Linked DNA regions of Daphnia pulex. The protein of the gene in region 1 interacts with the protein of each later gene in a pairwise test. Links are inferred from orthologs where the notes say so. Each region holds a gene or a part of one and is shown on either strand. Other genes may lie near its edges.

The links. The genes of interacting proteins can lie anywhere in the genome.
Region 2: the proteins of prefoldin subunit 3-like (region 1) and prefoldin subunit 4-like interact in binary tests that used the Homo sapiens proteins (3 or more experiments, as listed by UniProt). The link is inferred for Daphnia pulex from reciprocal best matches to the Homo sapiens genes VBP1 and PFDN4.

The regions. Positions count from the first base shown.
Region 1 is NC_060028.1:10,584,248-10,587,934, reverse strand, and holds prefoldin subunit 3-like, read right to left. Parts: upstream 1,777-3,687; 5' UTR 1,707-1,776; coding exon 1,614-1,706; intron 1,540-1,613; coding exon 1,467-1,539; intron 1,399-1,466; coding exon 1,187-1,398; intron 1,128-1,186; coding exon 1,015-1,127; intron 945-1,014; coding exon 860-944; 3' UTR 792-859; downstream 1-791. Other genes in the region: c-Myc-binding protein-like, read left to right, coding at 226-344, 414-515, 583-697; guanine nucleotide-binding protein subunit beta-like protein 1, read left to right, coding at 1,991-2,140, 2,203-3,021. UniProt on the Homo sapiens protein: Binds specifically to cytosolic chaperonin (c-CPN) and transfers target proteins to it. Binds to nascent polypeptide chain and promotes folding in an environment in which there are many competing pathways for nonnative proteins.
Region 2 is NC_060022.1:3,651,718-3,655,210, forward strand, and holds prefoldin subunit 4-like, read left to right. Parts: upstream 1-1,486; 5' UTR 1,487-1,600; coding exon 1,601-1,639; intron 1,640-1,721; coding exon 1,722-1,826; intron 1,827-1,991; coding exon 1,992-2,141; intron 2,142-2,192; coding exon 2,193-2,345; downstream 2,346-3,493. UniProt on the Homo sapiens protein: Binds specifically to cytosolic chaperonin (c-CPN) and transfers target proteins to it. Binds to nascent polypeptide chain and promotes folding in an environment in which there are many competing pathways for nonnative proteins.

The DNA of each region.
Region 1 (3,687 bases):
ATCCAATTTTTTTAGCATGATCGATTTTTTGCAAAATCGATCCAGCAGTTAAAATTAGCCGTTAAGTTATCGGTTAAAGTGTCTTTAACTCTTTCGATTTCCCTTTGAAATCACTACTGACGTGTTGGTATTTCGTACCTACTTCGAAAGAATTTCATTGATTTTGTTTTAAATCATACCTTCTAAACAACCGTTTTACGATTTTCAATACAAACTGATCAAGAAATGGAAAGCAAACGTGACGAATTTCGTCGTTATTTAGAGAAGGCAGGAGTCATGGACGCTCTGACAAAAGTTTTGGTTGGACTCTATGAAGAGCCAGAGAAACCAAATGATGCATTGATGTAACAATGAATTTGATTACTTACACATATAACACTTATTACAATACAGATTTTTCCTCACATAATTAGGTACCTAAAAACCCACCTGAGTGTTGCCCATCCCGATCAGGCTGAACTGGAGTCCATGAGGAATGAATTGCATTTTGCTCGGAGACAAGCTGAGATGTTGAAGTGAGTCGCTATTTAATATTACACAATGATTACAGCCATAGAATACCGAACACATTTTCTATATTAGGGAGGAGAATCAAAGGCTGTCTGCAGAACTTCAAAAGTACTTGGCTGTAGAAAGTTTGAGTAAGGAGGAACCTTCTGAACAAAGTACACCTGATCATGATGAACAGATAAATTGAGGCCACTTCCATCTGTCAAATCACTACCTTCTGTGCCTTGACATTTAACTCATTTATTATGTATTTCATGTTCATTATTAAATAAAAAACTTGATTCTGAAGCAAAATTTTTTATTGTGAACAATTGCAGTAGTTTCCTTTCATGCTAGCTGTAAAGAATTATTATTTAGCATTCAGGGCTTGTCTTCTCTTGACATCCCAATTGTAAAGCCTAGCCATGTTCACTTCAGTTGTTGTCATCTGATCCCTGTATAGATTTTAAAAAACATTTAAAGTTACACTGTTAGGGAAAGCCAAGCCAAACAGAGTAAACTTACCTAAGGAAGTCCAGATCATGATGTACTTGTGCAAGATTCTTCATAGCTGTTTCATGATTTTTTTCCAACAAAGCCTTAGCATCTTCTAAAGTGTATTCCAACATCACATTAGCCTGAAAAATAAACAGAATATTAGTTTGCAATCTTGTATAGTTTAAATGGTATAATTTACCCCTAGCCACAAGCAGACTTTATCTGTGGGTTCAATAACTGCCCTAGAGTACAGAAGGTCTGAGAGTAAAAAGTGAGTTTCAATTTGTTCGTTAGTTTTCCTTTTTGCTTCCAGCACTTGAATCATGTCAAGTGATTTTTGGATGTCTGGAATTTGACTCTTCAACTTCTTTTTGCGTGCCAGAAGGTTAAGCTCCATGAATTTATATTTTCCTGTAACAAAGATTGATAAAATTAACAAGCATGGCAAAGATACATTATGGCTTAATTAAATAACATACCATGTTGTTCGTCTAGTTGCCGCAAAATTGACTCCACCCCTTCACGATCCTTCATGTAAGCGTCTACATCTTCCTGTCACCGGTATAAACTGATATTGCACTGAACGGAAAGAAATTTGACATGGTGTTTTCACAAACGATATTTACCACAAAGGTAGCTTCGGGAATGCCAGCAAAAGACTTTTTTCCGGATAATTTCAGACTATCTTCGATAGGTTCACATGCTGCGGTCGAGGCCATTTTTGGAGATTTTGCTTTTAGAAGACAGAAAAAGGTTTTTTTAGTCTGCAATGTAAAAAGCCGATTTTGTACGGATTGTGTATTATTCACCATAGATGGCGCTGGTGAACCTGTAGAACCAAAAAGAAAACAACTTTTTGAAAGTTTTTGACGTGAGACATGCAAAAACAAAATTAGCTTTTTAATTCGAAATTGTCGATGGATACATTTATTTGAGGTCAGTTCTTATCATCTACTATAGCTGAGCATTAGGAAACTAAACAAATTTGGTTATTAAAGACAAAATGGCTCAACCACCACCAGATCCAGTCCACATTCTGCACAATCCAAGTGGACCAGTCACTGCATTAGCTGCACTAAGACTAAAAGAGGATGGTGAATACAATCTAGTCAGTGGATCAGAGATTGGATTCATAACTATTTGGAATTTAAATGTAGGCTTAAATTGATTTGCTTAAAATTGATTGTCTAATGACGAAACACCTTTTAAATTCAGGTTTATCGACCAACCAAGACCTGGCAAGCTCACAGTGCCACAATTGTGTGGATTGGGGCTTTGGATGACAGACCTGGTTACATAATTTCACATGGAAGAAATGAATCTCTCATCATCTGGAATGCAGAAGGAATCTCAGTTCATCGGATGCTAGTCACTCATGAAGGATTCTGCAAGTGTGACCTTTGGGCCAACATCATAGCCATCCCTGCCAAGAAGAATTCAGTTGAAATCTTCAACATCAGTCAGGAAACGACGTCGCTGGACCGTACCGGCACGCTAACGATCGACGACGACGAAGGAGCATTAATGGCCATTAAATTGTTGGGGAAACAGACGACTGTAGTAACCGCCTATGAAAGTGGATGCATTTGCATCTGGAACGAGAACGTTGTACTCCATCGAACAAGGGTCAAGAGCATGCCGACTTGCTTGGGGCATCATGCTCAGCGTAATGAACTCCTATTAGGAACTTCATGCGAAACATTATACATCTTCAACGTCGACGACCTAACCGAGCTCAAGTCTGTCGTGCTGACCAATCCCGGACTGAACGTCATGGCGCTCCGCCTATCCGACCCGCGTCTCTACGCAACAGCCGGCTGGGACCATCGCATTCGCTTCTTCAGTGCCCGAACTCATAAAAAGCTCTGCGTCCTTCAACTTCACGACGGCCCTGTCAACAGCCTGGTCTTCATCATGGGTCAAAGCGGCGGCGGCGTCGGCGGCTTGTTGGCCGCCGGAGGTAGCGACTCTCTGATATCCCTCTGGGATCTGTACAGCCAGGCAGGCCAGCCAACAACAGTGACGTCGGTTTGAACCAAAACCCCCAAAACCCCTTGAAAGGCAAGTTCCTGGCTTCCTCGTACACTTCCTTTGTATTCTAATCAACTGTGTGACTCTGCATTGATGCCGCAAGCTTTTCAAAAAAGGGAATATATAAAAGCGAGGGGTTGTTCTCTGCTCTCTATCGTCGTTTCTCCTCAAATACATGAAGAAATCAGAAAAGAATTTTATACACACATATATTTATAAAGGTTGGAAATTATCAAGCGAGCCGAAAAAAGATGACGGTCGTTGGGACGGAGTGTTACCATGGCGACGGCACGCCCTCGCACGCTCCTTGAAAACTTCTTGAAACACAACAATTGAAAATGTGAAGAGTCTGCGCCAGAAGAGAGAAAGATGGAGCGCATATATGTTTTGACAAGACTTTTCTCTCCTCTTTTAGAATTGAATATCCCTTTTCCTGTATAGACAGTAAGATGTTGGGTGTAAGTTGCGGATGTGTAGAGACAATTGTATTATTATTATTCATTTGTTGTTGTTTTTTCCCTAGATTGTATTGCAGCGATACGTGGGTGGGGTGTTGTATTATAATTTATGTACAAGTGTAAAAAGGGTGGGGGATGTTGTTGGCAATAGAAATGACAGACCAAGTGAAAAAACAATTACAGGAGATGATTGATTGATTATTGACCTATT
Region 2 (3,493 bases), on another chromosome or scaffold:
TTTCTCTTTTTATTCGGGGATCCTATTAAGTCAGCTTGGAAACTTTAAATCTTCCTCCTGTCAATTCCTTCTTGTCAGACCAGTCTTGTTTTCTCCATTTAGATTTACGCCATAAACAAAAAAAAGGATCTCGCGCGGCTTTCTCCCATTTCACTGCTGGCATATACCAGCCATAAAAAGCCTTTTCTTTATATTTATTCTATTTGAAAAACTTTGATAAAAATAAAGTTATGCATCATTTTCAAAGAGCTTTAAATTACCCAACTTATTACGCATTTGCCAAGTTAAAGTTCATCATTTAAATGAATTCACAGAAAGTAGAAACGTTTTAGAAATGATGTGCGGATCTAATGGCGGCGAAATGAGGTATTAATGTATCAACACGAACCCACAATACGTCCTACTCTTTAACAAGACCATTTATCACGCTTTCTTCTTCTTTGTACGTACTGCGCACTGACGCTAACTAGGTTAAGCAACTCGGTATTCACGGCTGTTTTTACGGATGAGAGGGACGCTCGGGTTGCTTGACCGCATTAAGTAAAGTGCGCTGGTATAACAGGCTACCGCACAACCGAGTGTAAACGACACTTTGATGAGGAAATTACTTGTCAACGCGCAAAACCCACCTCTGCAGCTGTTGTCGATTGTTCGGTGAACATAAAGGTCTATAAAAAAACGACAGAGAAACACGTTGAGATATGTGAATGAAGCGAAACAGGAGGACGGATGCCTTCTGTCTAAAACGTACATTTCAAGTGGCTTTCGTGAATCGTATAGCGTGATGGAATTCGCCAGGAAATATTTAATAATCAAACAGTTGTTGTTCCATAAGTTGATAAAACTCGTCTTCTCAGTTATTGCGGGCTCTGACGCACAAAGGGGAGATTGATATGATTGGTTAAAACATGTGAAACTATTTCGTCTCTATTGCGTTCTGTTTGTTTTGCTATCGATCTGCAGGGCAACTGCATATAATATGGCAAGTTCGCCACAAAGAAAACCGCTTACTTAGACGTGTTCATATTGCTTTTATTGTAAAAAGAAAAGCTCTCAAAAACAAATAGAAGACATCTTCGTTATTTATTACATTTTTTTTTTCAGATTTCCATAATATTACTTTCACGTGCACGACTTTCTTCATGAGCATTGCAACATGTTTTTGCTTGACATCTTTTTCGAAAATCCGAGAACCCATCAGGATTCATTATAATTTTCTAGTAAGTATCGTAATAATAAGATAGAAACCCGAAGAAAATTTCTCTTTAAGCGCGTGAATTTACACAAACACATTTTATGGAGCAAGCTAACAATTATGAAAGCCGTGTAGGCCTTACTTAATAGGGAATATAATAGCCCTTTCACTTTCCCAGTGGTCAATGCACCTGGGATAAAGACGATTTTTCTTGAAGTAATAATGCCGTAGTATTGAAGTAATAAAAACGAAATGTGCCATAAAGAAATTGCTTGTTAAATCCAGTAAAATAAAAATCCTAAAAAGAATAGTAATTTGAATAATGGCAACCAGCATATCATTATCGATTGAAATAATCGATAAATAGGCGTCGTCTGCTACGTAGGGGTTGTCAAGAAAAACATCATGGCCTCAGTAGCAGTTTCTAAAGATTCTCTTGAATCGGTAAGAAAATGATTTGACTTAAGAATTTATAGCTTAACGTGTTGCCAATTTCTAGTAGTTAAAGTAACTGAAATTATTTTAGGACTCTGACATTCACATTACATTGGAAGACCAACAGAAAATCAACCGGTTTGCACGACACAATGCAAAATGGGAGGAGCTCAGGGATGATCTGAAAAATAAAAAGGTGAAATTCTTTCTATTGCATGCTTCTTTTCGTAATGTGTGTGAAGTCTTCAAAATTATTATGTGTCATAAATGTGCTGGCAGAAATATTTTCGCATTCTGCTCATGATTCACGTTGAAACTTACAATTCTGCATTGCTACTCGTTTTCTCTATGCTTTGTTCAGGGAGATCTTCAAAACTTGGAGGATGCTTCAGATGATTTACTCTTGGTTGATGATGAATCAGCTCCAATTCCTTTCGTTGTAGGTGAAGTGTTTGTTCATTTCAACATGGAAGAGGCAAAGGTGATTTTCTTTTTTCCTCTTCTGTCAATTGTGCATCGCTGTTAAAGTACTGCTTATCGCTAATTGTTTGACTTATCACAGGAGAAACTTGAAGAAGCAAAAGACAAAGTGAAAAAAGATATTGAAGCCATCGAAGCTGAATGCACAAACATCAAGACTTTGATGAGCGATCTGAAGACGCAATTGTACGCCAAATTCGGTAATTCTATCAACCTAGAAGCCGAAGAGGAATAAAGAAAACGTCCAAAATGCTTTCTCCACTATAATAATGAAGAACAATACAAAAAAGAAAAAAACAGTCTTTGATAGCACTGACAGAAACAAATTGTCTCTCAAGCCACAAAGAGAAAAGTAAACAACAAAGCTAAAGAAAGTATTTTTAGCTAGTTTCCCTAACACTAAAAATATCTGCGAAGAAAATGTAACGCTTGACTTGCACCTCCGCAACGACGCCTCTGCATCTGGCTACCACTCGGTACCTCTTTAGTTTCGTAGAGGCCATTCACCGGACGGTTTTCCAGCCTTTCTCTCTCAGTCTCGAGCTCCACGACCTCGTAAAATAATCGATTGTTATTGCTTATGTATTCGTCCGTGTTAACCTCATTTGGACACGACCTGCAGAGAGGACTATCGTTGATACTACCCAATAGGTTCAGAAGAATACCAATCGGAAATTGTCACTTGACTGACCCAGTGACTTAGTTTTCTCGGCTGTCCATCACATGGCCGGTTTTTCATCATCCGGATCGTGCACGTTCATAAAGTCCTCCCTTCCCGTTATTGTGCTCATTACATCCGTTCGACGGTGGGTTTGCGAAGCTTGTCACGTCATGACCGTGCCGCCGCTCACTTTTCCCCTGGTCGAGAGGAAAACCCGCATCGTCCCCCCTCCGGCTGCAGATGGTAGACACGAAGTTTTTAAGCAAACAAACAAAAGAAACGAATGAATCTACAGGACAGGACGGAATATTCCTCTGCTTCTAAAAGCAATTGAAGAAAAAAGAATGAGAAGGAAAAACTTGTAACTAGGCCAAGGTTCGTTGGTACACGTTTTTGTTATAAGCTATTTTCAACTTGGGAATCATGAGAAACTTTTAGGGTACCTTCACGTTATTTCAAAAAGAGGGGGGGGGAACGACGATGCGTATGGCACTTTTGCGTTCACTTTCTTTCTTCTAGAGTTAAAAAAAAGAAGAGCCCCCAGATGCCTTTATTGCTTTGTTTTCCGAGCTGCGATGTACACAACAGACAGGAAAAGGTGTGGATACTCTACACCATATCTCTCATCTTTCTGTCATCATCTCCAAGGGTAAGTGAAGTGTTTTTAATTTCAGAGAAATAGCACACCACTTGGCCGATTTATATTTCCATCACACAATCGA